Caenorhabditis elegans: one gene and its partners. The protein of the gene in region 3 purifies or fractionates together with the protein of the main gene of each other region. This does not show direct contact. Each region holds a gene or a part of one and is shown on either strand. Other genes may lie near its edges.

What was found.
Region 1: the proteins of dylt-1 (region 3) and exc-15 fractionate together in Caenorhabditis elegans (co-fractionation; one large-scale study listed by BioGRID). This does not show direct contact.
Region 2: the proteins of dylt-1 (region 3) and cox-17 fractionate together in Caenorhabditis elegans (co-fractionation; one large-scale study listed by BioGRID). This does not show direct contact.

The regions. Positions count from the first base shown.
Region 1 is NC_003283.11:4,481,890-4,487,105, forward strand, and holds exc-15 (NADP-dependent oxidoreductase domain-containing protein), read left to right. Parts: upstream 1-1,569; 5' UTR 1,570-1,615; coding exon 1,616-1,751; intron 1,752-2,226; coding exon 2,227-2,564; intron 2,565-3,326; coding exon 3,327-3,775; intron 3,776-4,449; coding exon 4,450-4,528; 3' UTR 4,529-4,654; downstream 4,655-5,216.
Region 2 is NC_003281.10:189,216-192,543, forward strand, and holds cox-17 (Cytochrome c oxidase copper chaperone), read left to right. Parts: upstream 1-1,770; 5' UTR 1,771-1,781; coding exon 1,782-1,874; intron 1,875-2,549; coding exon 2,550-2,648; 3' UTR 2,649-2,766; downstream 2,767-3,328. Other genes in the region: ubc-20 (UBC core domain-containing protein), read left to right, coding at 1-43, 100-226, 1,187-1,360; sec-20 (Sec20 C-terminal domain-containing protein), read left to right, coding at 2,891-3,000, 3,221-3,328.
Region 3 is NC_003279.8:7,299,517-7,302,665, reverse strand, and holds dylt-1 (DYnein Light chain (Tctex type)), read left to right. Parts: upstream 1-1,752; 5' UTR 1,753-1,771; coding exon 1,772-1,813; intron 1,814-1,915; coding exon 1,916-2,123; intron 2,124-2,243; coding exon 2,244-2,314; 3' UTR 2,315-2,601; downstream 2,602-3,149. Other genes in the region: Inositol monophosphatase ttx-7, read left to right, coding at 1-113, 227-331, 440-594, 639-759, 1,240-1,501; BAH-4 (Glycosyltransferase family 92 protein F13G3.3), read left to right, coding at 2,704-2,792, 2,854-3,078.

The DNA of each region.
Region 1 (5,216 bases), on a different chromosome or scaffold from region 3:
CATTAAAAACATTACAAAAAACATCAAAAAAGATGCAGCACGAGGAACCTGACATCTCAAATACACACTGAATTATGCCCTTCTCGAGTGATCTGCTTTCGGAAGATAGCTATCGAACCCGGTAGATCAGCCTCTCGTAGATCAAATATGCGTGATAGATTGAAAATTAATCCCGAAATGTTCTTTAATATTGTAGATTCGTAATCTGTGAAATCGAAGAACCACGCTATCAAGTTTTGTTTCAAAAACTGGAAAATGCTGAACCCAAGTTTAGGAATTTTAAGAAATCGTGTACTTACCTCAAATTTTTATTTTTAATTTTCAGTAGAGGCTAGTTAGACACTTTTAGTTGCTTGGCCGTTAATCAATGGAAATTTAATAATTTATACTGTACATATGTTATTTTTCTCTATTTTTTCCATTTTATTTTCGGCAACCGGTTTTTGGAATTTTTTTTGTCAGATTTTTACAGTTTATGTTCTGGATGGGATTGTTTTTTTTAATCTCAAAATTTTTGCACGTTTCAGGTTTCAATATCATTTTACATATTCAATGAGAAATCAACTTTTCTGCAGAAGCCAGCGTCCACTTCAAAATAATTTTTGAACGGTATAGCAAATTGATAATAGTTAAGATTTCAACAACCAGGCTGTCACATAAAAATTGCACTCTATAAAAAATCGGTTTTTCAAAGAATTGGCAAACGTACAGAACTGTTCATTTCAGTACGAAAGTATAACTTTTTCAAATCAAATATTTAAAAAAAATGTAGAAAATTGTTTGTTCAATCTGAAATTTTTATTCATTTTTATTTGAAAGTTTAAAAAATACCTCAAACGGTCGTTGAAAATTTCAGTTTGCTGTGAAAAATTCAAAGTAATTTTTGCACAAAACAACAATTTTAAGGCCCTATTTAAAGTTTCTTTTAGATTTTTCAACAATAAACTTTTTATTTTCAGAAGGCCTTTCCGGCATTTCTATTTTTTTTTTTTTGACTGTAAATATAACTTTTTAAAACAATTTTTGAAAATTTTTACTATGATATTTCCTAATTTTGGCACGATATTACGCTACTTCACCTTTTAAAAATTTTTAATTTGTGTCTTTTGTTGTTTTTTCATTACTTCAAACGATCAAATAATGATTTTCGAACTCACCCACTTTTCGGTCATCTGACAACACTTTTCCCCTCTTATCTAGGCGTCCTTCATTTCAACGTCGTCCACTTCCTACTACTGTTTCATCACATGAACATCTATCTGCATGTATTTCAAATTTCTGTCAATAGTCTCAGTTCTCACATTGCCACAAACAAAAACAATTGTCATGTTTTTGGAATTTGCATGAAAAAAAAGTGAAAATTGGCCTCCGCATCATTGAACATTTTCCGTTACGGTCTTTTCATCTTTTTTCTATTTTTCCGGCATTCATTTTTTGTGACTGAGCGAAAACCGTTTGTTCATCTCTCGTCTCTATTTCTTGCCGATGGTCACAAAATACCTCTTATCATTTATTTTGTTTATCATTTTGTCATCTATTGGTTTAAACGTAGCTTCTCCTTTTACATTTATCAGTTTTCTGCTTTTCGGTCATATTCATTTTGAGTATTTGCAGAATGACCGTAGACTCTATTCCATTGAATACCGGAGCTCAGCTTCCACTTTTCGGATTGGGAACGTGGCAGGTGAAGGATGAAGCTGAGCTGACTGTGGCTCTTCGTGCAGCTCTTGATGCTGGATACAGACTTATTGGTGAGTGCTGTCCTAGATGGAAACCATAATTTTTTTTTAGTCATGTTTTCTTTTCTTCTTCCATTTGAGATGTCACAAAAAAATAATTGGAAAATAAAAACCGATTTAAAAAATGTTATTTTTGGCCAAAAACGGAAAACTCAAAAAAAAAGTGGTGGCTTGCTCAAACCAGTTAATTAAATTTTTTGCACAATTGAAAAAAAACATTAAAAATTTTGAAATTTTTTTCCAACATTTTTTACATTCGGTAACTACGACCCATTTTCAAAAAACCGACAAACTTTACTCACACCTTTAACTTCAGATTTTCCCATTCAAATTCTAGGTATTTTTCTACTTTTTGACACAAATGTTGAGATTTTTTACGGTGTCCAGTTTTTCGAGTTTTCGAATAAAACCATTGGCAAAGTTGATCCTTGGAGGGCAGTTTTGACAACGTTTTGACAACTGAAAATCCCATTTTTTCAATATTCAGACACTGCTCACCTCTACCAAAACGAGCACATTATTGGAAAAGTGCTCCATGAGTACATCTCATCTGGAAAACTGAAACGCGAGGACATCTTCGTCACCTCTAAACTTCCATTTACCGCTCACGCCCCGGAAGATGTTCCAAAATGTGTGGAAAGCCAATTGAAGGCGCTTCAACTTGAGTATATTGACCTGTATTTGATCCATTGCCCATTCCCATTCAAACATCAGGAGGGAAGCTTTGCTCCATTGATGGAGAATGGAGAGCTTGCTGTTACAGAAATCGCTCATATTGATACATGGAGAGCGTTGGAGAAGTTGTACAAGGAGGGAAAGCTTAAGGTTTGTGAGATTTGGTCTTGAAGGAACATCAGCAATTTCGATTTCCATAAAGTAATTGAATCAGGGGTGGGCGGCAATGCCATTCGGCAAATTTTTTTGTCGACAAGTTCGGCAAAACGGCAAATTGCCGGTTTGACGGTTTGCCGGAAGTTTTCATTTTCGGCAATTCGCTGATTCGCCGTTCGCCATTATATAAATTTGCCGGAAGTGTTTAGAGGGAATTTTTTATAAGACGGAAGCACTTAACACTGTGTCTTTTTGAAATTTTTTCCCGTTTTCATTAAACATTTTCAAAGGATTTGCTTATTTTTCAAAACAGATGTAGAAACATTCATAGGATGCGTACAATTTTGCCGATTAAAATTGAAATTCTGAAATTTCCAAAAAAAAAAGTGCAAAACCACAATTTTTCGAAAATTATTGGCCTTTTTTCCGGCAAATTCGGTAAGCAATTTGTCAGTTTGCCGATTTGGCGGAAATTTTTAAACAGGCAGTTTGCCCGAAAAATCGTTTGCCGTCCATGTGATGAAAAGTTTGTATTAAAAATGTTCTTATTAAATTTTTTCTTGAAAATTTCCAGTGGTTTATTCAAAAAATGTAGTCAAAATTAGACCCACCGGGTGTCAGCTGCTGTAACGTTTTTTGGAATACATATACTTATAAAATTTCAGCAGAATGTAGAAAAATTAGTTGCCAATATTTTGTTAACTATCCATGTTCAAGTTACACGTAGTGTTCTTTCTCCAAAAATATAATTTTCAGGCCCTTGGAGTATCCAACTTCAGTTGCAACCAGCTTCAAGCGCTCTATGACGCCGCCGAAGTGAAGCCAGCCAACCAACAAGTCGAGTGTCACATCTATTGGCCACAACAAGAGCTCCGTGCTCTGTGCAAAAAACTCGGAGTCACTGTTACAGCATACGCACCACTTGGCTCACCAGGCAGAAAAGCTGCTCGTCCGGACGGTGTCTGGCCGGAAGGTGACCCACTTCTCGAGCCAATCGTCAAACAACTGGCTGCCAAGTATCACAAAACTGCTGCACAGATTCTCATTCGCCACCTGACTCAACACGGTATTTCGACGATTCCGAAGAGTGTCAGTCCGGACAGAATTGTTGAGAATATCTCGACGTTTGATTTTAAGCTGAGCGATGAGGATATGCACACTTTGAACAGTATCGAGACCAGAACTAGACTTTTCATCGCTGATTTGTAGGTTTTTTATCTATGGAACGAATGTTTTAAAATTAAAAAAAACCATTTCAAGTTTGAAACTTTTATATTTTTGTCGAAATTATTTCCCCTCCACTCGCTCACTTCAGGATATTTTCCCGTCAGTGGGCCGGTAAATCTTCAGTAGTCCAAACCAAGAGTGCGCTGCAATTGGCAATTTCATCAATTGCCGGTTTTGAAAAATTCCGGCAATCGGCGATTCCGGCGATTGCCGAAATTGCAGAAATTGTCGATTGCCGGACATTTTCGGCGATTTTCAAACCTAACTATATTTCGGAAATTGAAAAAATTGCAAATTGGTTTTTAGTATTCAGTTAGTCATTTTCTGAAAGAAAGCGTTAAATCCATCAAGGATTCAATCATTTTGAGCTTGAAAAAGGAAAATTGTTCCTTAAAATGCATGTTTAGGCTAAAATTATATTTCCGGCAATTCTGATTTCCGGCAACTGGCAATTTTGGCAATTGCCAGTTTTGGAAATTTTCGGCAATTGACAATTTTGCCAACTGCCGAAATTTCCAAAATTGGCAAAAATTCGATGGTCCAAACTCAAGAATTCCAGCTCAAAATTATACAATCCTATAAACAAATTAAATCACACTTTTCCTCGTGTAGTACACAAAGCTATGCAAATTATCATTGTATAATTTTTCAGCGCTGTCAAGCATCCATTCTTCCCACACGACGACATTGACACCTCCAAAGTTCCAAAAGTTGGGATCAGACTTCACTAGACTTTTGGCTCAACTTGTGAATTAGAAAACAAAATGGATTGTAGAACTCTTTATCGCACATTTCTTATTATGAATATTTGTAATTTTGATTCGAAATAATGAAGTACATCATATATATATATATATATATATATATATATATATATATATATATATATATATATATATATATTTCCCGCATGTATTTTATGGTCGAATATCAGGGGATAAACCAGTCTCGGAAGTGTTGGCGAAACAATAAAAAAAAACAGTTGATGATCGACAAATAATTGGACAACAGGTCTCGTCTCACTTCAAAAGGTTTCCGACGAAGAGGACCATCGACCTTGAGACCAAACAAACGACAGATTTTTGATTGCATAATTGAGGATGAAGTGAAGGCACTTCTTTTTTTTGGTGTGCATATCAGATCATAGGCGACTACATTTCGGCACCTCATTTGTTTCCTTACGTTATTCCACACTTAATCTGCCAAAACAGTTTGTGGGGGTACAGGTGGTGGGATTTGGAATGAGTTCCTATAAATAATTTAGGCAAATTATGAATGCTATAGGAAATTTCAATTTTTTTTTGAGATGAAAAATGATGAAGTAGAATATTTAAAAAAAAAACAATTTAAATTAGCATATTCAAGAAAAATTTCAAAATTTTTTTATTTACAGTTTCAGTTTTTTTCTATAATAATTTT
Region 2 (3,328 bases), on a different chromosome or scaffold from region 3:
CGCAGACCGGCGTCATTTGCCTCGATATTCTTAAGGATCAATGGTAATATTGCGATTATTATTTTAAAATCGGAAAATTTAATTTATTTTCAACTTCAGGGCCGCTTCGCTGACTCTTCGCACGGTTCTCCTGTCGATTCAGGCGTTGATGTGCACACCGGAGCCCAAGGATCCTCAAGATGCCGTCGTCGCCAAGCAATACATGGAGAAGCCAGCAGTTTTCAAGGTAGCAGCGTGGAAAATTCAGAAAATTCGCGGAAAAATGGGGAAAATATTGCGAAATCCGATTAAAAAATCAATATGGGTCTGCTAAGTAATTAAGTAATTAGCAGACCCAAATCTTCCCTTATTTTGTGTGTTTTTTTGCGTATTTTGCCCCAAAAATTATCTATAATTTCCCATTTTTCAGGCCAACTCGAGTTTTGAAGCGTCAAAATTGAGAAAATTCGATGGGAAACGTGCAAAATTCGTTAATTCCCGAATTTTGGAGACAATTCTGACTGTTTTACACTGAAATGCACGATTTTCTCGGAAAATTATTGATTTTTGCCCTGAAATTTCAGAATTTGGCCGATTTTCTTTAGAATTTGGGTCTGCCAACTAATTAGCAGGCTTGTAGAAACGCCACGTGGTTTTCGATGGTCTGCTAAATATTTAGCAGACCCAAGTATGGTCTGCTAAATAATTAGCAGACCCAAGTATGGTCTGCTAAATAATTAGCAGACCCAAGTATGGTCTGCTAAATATTTAGCAGACCCTAATCCCGTATTTATCCTTTAAATTTAGTTTTTTTCGCGGAATTTACTGGTTTTTTCTTGTTTTTCAACCAGGAAATCGTTCAAATTCATCACTTTTTGTCCCAGAAGCCGAGAAAAATCAGTTTTTCAGCTCATATCGAAATTTGTTTTTCAAAAAGAAATTATAAAAAAGTTTAGCAGACCCAAAACTCAACAAATTTGGCGAAGTTGTTTTTAGTCTAAAAACTCGAATTTCCCCGAAAATTCGTTGTTTCCAGTGAGTGTAAAAACTCGAGAAATCTCAAAAAAAAAATTGGTTTTCATTCGAATTTTCTCAATTTCCACGCTTGAAAACTTTAGGTAGCCTAGAAAATAGACAAACATAGACAACATAAACTGAATAATAGCCTAATATGCTCTTAATATACTAAATTTCCACCATTTTTCAGGCCACCGCCGAGTACTGGACGACAAAATTCGCAAAGGGAGCCGTGAAAAACGCCGGATACCAGGCTCTCGTCGACAAGCTCAAGGATATGGGAGTCCGTGAGGAAGAGGCTGTCAGCGTGCTCAGCTGCAACAATTGGGACATCAATCGCTCGACGGTCTACATTTTCTCTTAAATTCTTTTTTATTCGATTTTTTTGAATTTTTTCTGTGAGCCTCTTGTCTTGAAGTTTGTGTCCTAAAAATCCCTTATTTCTTCCATTTTTTTCCGAGAAATTTTCGTCCCCAACCCCCCGCACCACTGGTATTTCTTTTTACCAATTCGTACCATCCTCACCCCAAAAAAACCGATCAGAATAGTAGATTTTCCGCCTGATTTGTGTGTGTTTTGCCTATTTATTATCGATATTATTCATTGAAATTTCCCCCCTTTGACCCCCATTTTTTTTGCAACGATACTCTTTCCATGAATTATATTGACGGAGTTGTAGCTGCAATTTTTATCCGATTTTCTGAAAATTTTTGGCGAATGTCGTTTTTAATATCTTTAAAACTCCATTTTTATCTGTAAAATCTATAATTTTAGCACCCAAAAAAATGCCAGCAGAGCCACAAAAATCCACAGAAGCCGGCAGCGTGGCACCGGAGAAGAAGCTGAAAGCGTGCTGCGCGTGTCCTGAAACGAAACGAGTGAGGTTTTGATGGAAAATGGAAAAATGGCGAAAAATTCCAATTTTGCGGTTGAAAATCGCTAAATTTTACATTTCGACTATCCAAAACTGATTTTTCCGAGTTTTTGCATCAAAAATCGAGAATTTCTGGGAAAAAACTCAATTTTGAACATAAATTCGAAAAAAAATGGGTCTGCTAAATATTTAGCAGACCCATTTTTGGTCTGCTAAATATTTAGCATACCCAACTTTGGTCTGCTAATTATTTAGCAGACCCAAGTATGGTCTGCTAAATATTTAGCAGACCCCAGTATGGTCTGCTAAATATTTAGCAGACCCCAGTATGGTCTGCTAAATATTTAGCATACCCAATTTTGGTCTGCTAAACATTTTGCAGACCCAATTTCGAAAAATCTTAATTTTTTCCTCAAAAACGGAATTTTCTTGGTTTTTACAGCAAAAATCGAGAATTTCCGCGATTTTCTGACTAGAAAACCTGAAAAATTCGTGAAATTCGTTGAAAAAACTCAATTTGGAACAGAAATTCGAAAAAAAATGGGTCTGCTAAATATTTAACAGACCCAAAACTACACTAATCCCGTTTTCCTTAGCTAAAAACCCCAGATTTTCACACTTTTTCGTCATTTTCAAATGATTTTCCATTCAAAACAAATGAAATAACCCCAATTTTCAGGTCCGTGACGCTTGCATCATCGAAAACGGCGAGGAGAAGTGCGGAAAACTGATCGAAGCCCATAAAGCCTGCATGCGAGCCGCCGGATTTAATATTTAACTGAAATTTTTAATTTTTTTGCATTTTTGAATGTTTTGTTATAGCTGTAGCTAGTTTTCTTGTTTTTTTTCTTCAAATTTTCATATTTCATAGCTTTAACATGAATTTTTCTGTTTTTTTTTCTTTTAAAATTAGTTTTTCTCACTGAAAACCGTGGTTTTTCCATTAAATGTATATATATATATATTTTGCCACGTGGCTCTATTGTTTATTTTTTATTATTTATCTGTAAACTTTTCCAGATGGATCAAAAAACGGGCCGGCAAAAAATGGAAGAGGCCGAGTACCTCCACGTGGGCCTCAATAGAATATTCGAAATTGCCAAGGAGAAGGTGGAAGTTGTCAGAATTGGGTAAAAAAACGGAATTTGCACTTTAAAATACCCAAAATAATCTGAAAAATCGCTTTTAATGCAGAAAAATGGAAAATTTCGCATTTTTCTGGAAAAAAATGTGAAAAATGTGATTTTTCTCCAAGAAATATTCGAAAAATCACTTTTTTTATGTTTAAAAATGTGATATTTCTTGGTTTTTTTTTCAGTATTTTCGAGTATTTTAACATTTTTATTTTAGAAATGGCTCAAATGACAAGAAACAGCTAGCGAATGACGTCAGAGAGGCACAGAAGGTGCTCAGAACTATGCAAACTCGAATTTCAGACCTAAAAGCCCTCGGCAAAGA
Region 3 (3,149 bases):
CCGGAAAGCAAGGTTGACACAAAATCATCGAATACTGATTTGGTGACTGAAACTGACCAAGCTGTTGAAAAGCTTCTCATCGAAGGGCTCTCCGAGAGATTCAAAGGACATAGGTAAGAGCAAGGAATTCCCACGGTCCGCTCGATTTCACTCATTGTCTCCATGACAACCAGTTGGACTTTCTTTTTCAATCGAGTATTTACATAAATTTACTATTTTGATTCAGATTCATTGGCGAGGAATCTGTAGCCGGAGGTGCGAAAATTGAATGGACTGATGCACCAACATGGATTATTGATCCGATTGATGGAACTACTAACTTTGTTCATAGGTAAGATTTTTTTTAAATCGGACTCTTCAAATAATGGCAAATCGCGTTATTTAATTTCTAATTTGGACTCAAATTTTTCTCGAAAAACAAATTCTTATGTTATTATAGAATCCCTATGATCGCAATCTGCGTTGGACTTGCAATCAAAAAACAAATTCGTGCTGGAATCGTATACAATCCAATCACTAATGAACTTTATCTCGCTCAACTCGGAAAGGGAGCTTTCAAAAATGGATTTCCAATCCGAGCATCAAAGAATCAATGTAAGTAATTGCACTTTTCTTGTCATGCACCCTGCTTTTTGAAGTGCTTTCAAAGGGAGTTCTCTGTCAATCTCTCGGTCTGCATAATCGTGTTCAGTTCGGCGATCGCTGGCTCGACATTGCCCAGTCAAACATGCGAAATCAAGTGATGGCTGGTGTGCGAGGGTTTGTTTTAATTTTTTGGTCTAAAATTGATTACTTTTTTACAAAAAATATACCTCCACACTTCCCGCGCTGGTTTTGCACGTTTTACTTTCAATTTTATTTACATTCACATAGAAACGTTGCAAATTCCAGTCATTGCGGAAAGTGTGCTCATACTTCAACTTGGCTCAATTCGATCTCCTGTTATGCAGAAATCATTTGTTGATTCTTACAAGACTGTTATGTTCGACAAACAATGTCACGGGTACTTATAAATATTTTTTATATTCTTGTCGAAATCTAGTGACTTTCTTGAACTGTGCGTTTGCAAATTTTTTGAAAGTTTTACTAAAATTGAGAAATGGATAAGATGGAAAAGTTAGATGTTGGATGGACAAAGTTTAATATGAAAAAAATCACGAGGATGATGTGATATTATTATTTTTAATATTGTTATACATAATAAAAGTTATTTGAAAAAAATCCAAGTTTTTTTTTCAGACACCGTTCGTTTGGCTCCGCCGCGATCAACATGGTGATGGTTGCACAAGGAAGTTGCGATGGATATGTTGAATACGGGATTCACGCTTGGGATGTTGCTGCTCCTTCTATCATTGTCACAGAAGCCGGAGGTGTTGTCACTGATCCAACTGGATCCCCATTTGACGTCATGTCAAGAAAAGTTCTCTGCGCTGGAACAGCTGAACTCGGACGCGATTTATCTGCATGCCTCACTCATGTCGATTTCGAGCCGGAAGCCTAAATATATATTTAACTATTTATTTTCAAAACTCACATATTGTGACATAACATTCCTACCATAACATGCATTATCTGTATTTCCAATTTAATATTAGTTTTTTGATTTTATTTTCTAGTCGTATGTATTCTCGTTTTATGAGAATAAATTATTTAAAGATGTTTATATCTTAATTTCTGATACTTCAATTGCCGTTTGAGCGCACTTGATTTATTTATACTGTCTCTTTTTTAATAATTAAACTCAATATTCAGCTCTCACAAGCTCAACATCATGGCTTTGGCAGAGGAGGACGTTCACATGATCATCAAGCAGGTACCGATATTTTATATGTCTACTGTATTAATTCTTTGAAAAACTATAATTTTTGAGTTGATTATTGTTTATTCACATTCTCGTAATCCAATAATCTTTCAGGTACTCGACGAGGTTGTAGGCGCAAGCACCCAGTATACCCACAAGGACAGTGTTCAGTGGAATCAGAAGGCCGTCGAACAAATAACGAAGAAGCTAGTGGCAGCGGGAAAACCATACAAATATGTGGTTACCTCGTCGTTCCTTCAGATCTCGAGCGGTTCCGGTCTCAATGTTAGCACGATTTCCTACTGGAATAAAGTCACGGATTGTGAGTTAACATTTTGTATTAAAACATTAAATAATAAAGAGGGAAATAAATTTATTACTCACAAAGTTCTGATTTTGAAAGTTGGTATTCAACTTATAGCTCAAAAAATCTCATTTTCAGCCTCGTACATGTACCGTTGGGAAGCCAAAACAATGCTTGCAATCGTCTATGTTTTTGCAATTGCAATTTAACAATCCACAGCTTCATCTTATATGTCTACTCTGGTTTTCCTCGTTTACCGCCAATTCTCCCCTTATTTCTGATTGTTTTTTTCTTCCCCATTCATCACACACTATCATGTTTTATATTCAGACCTATTACCTGTCCAGAAAAACTGAGCTGAAAAAATCCGGACGAGCAGCTCCTTCACATTCAAAATCTTCCATCATTTCCCCCACTCAATTCATTTGTTTTGTCTTTGATTTTCAAATTTTTTGCCTTATTATTTTATTGCTAAATTAATGAAAACTGTTACTCCTCATTTTGACCGTCGCACTCATTGAAGGTAGTTCGAGATTAGATGTTCAGATAACTTGCGGGACGCGTTAGGACACAAAACAAGTGCGTCAGATCAGCCAAAATGCTTCCACGAATAATTCCATCGGTTCTGTCTGTGGTATTACTTTTTTCGTTTTTATTTTTTGTAACGGCAGTCTTACTTCAATTTATGTAAGTATTGATAGTTAAAAATTATCACCGTTCAAAAATGATTGAAACGATAAATTTCCAGTCGAATCGATTCACCAGATCTTGAAAATGAAGAAGTATTTCATTCGGCACCTTATGATATATTCATTTATTCTGCATTTTATTATAATAAATCAAAAAGTCTCGGAGATTCTTCAATGGTTATTCTGATGACTGCTGATTTTGAAGTTTTGGAAAAAGTTAAAAATCTTGAACTTTTGGGCATAAATGACACGAGTCGAGCTATGACATCTGCTGAATTGGAAAGGTTTGTGTATTTAATTTCTTATTTTTGTGTTGATTCGAAGTTTTTGAGCTTTTCGGCACCAATTAAATAAG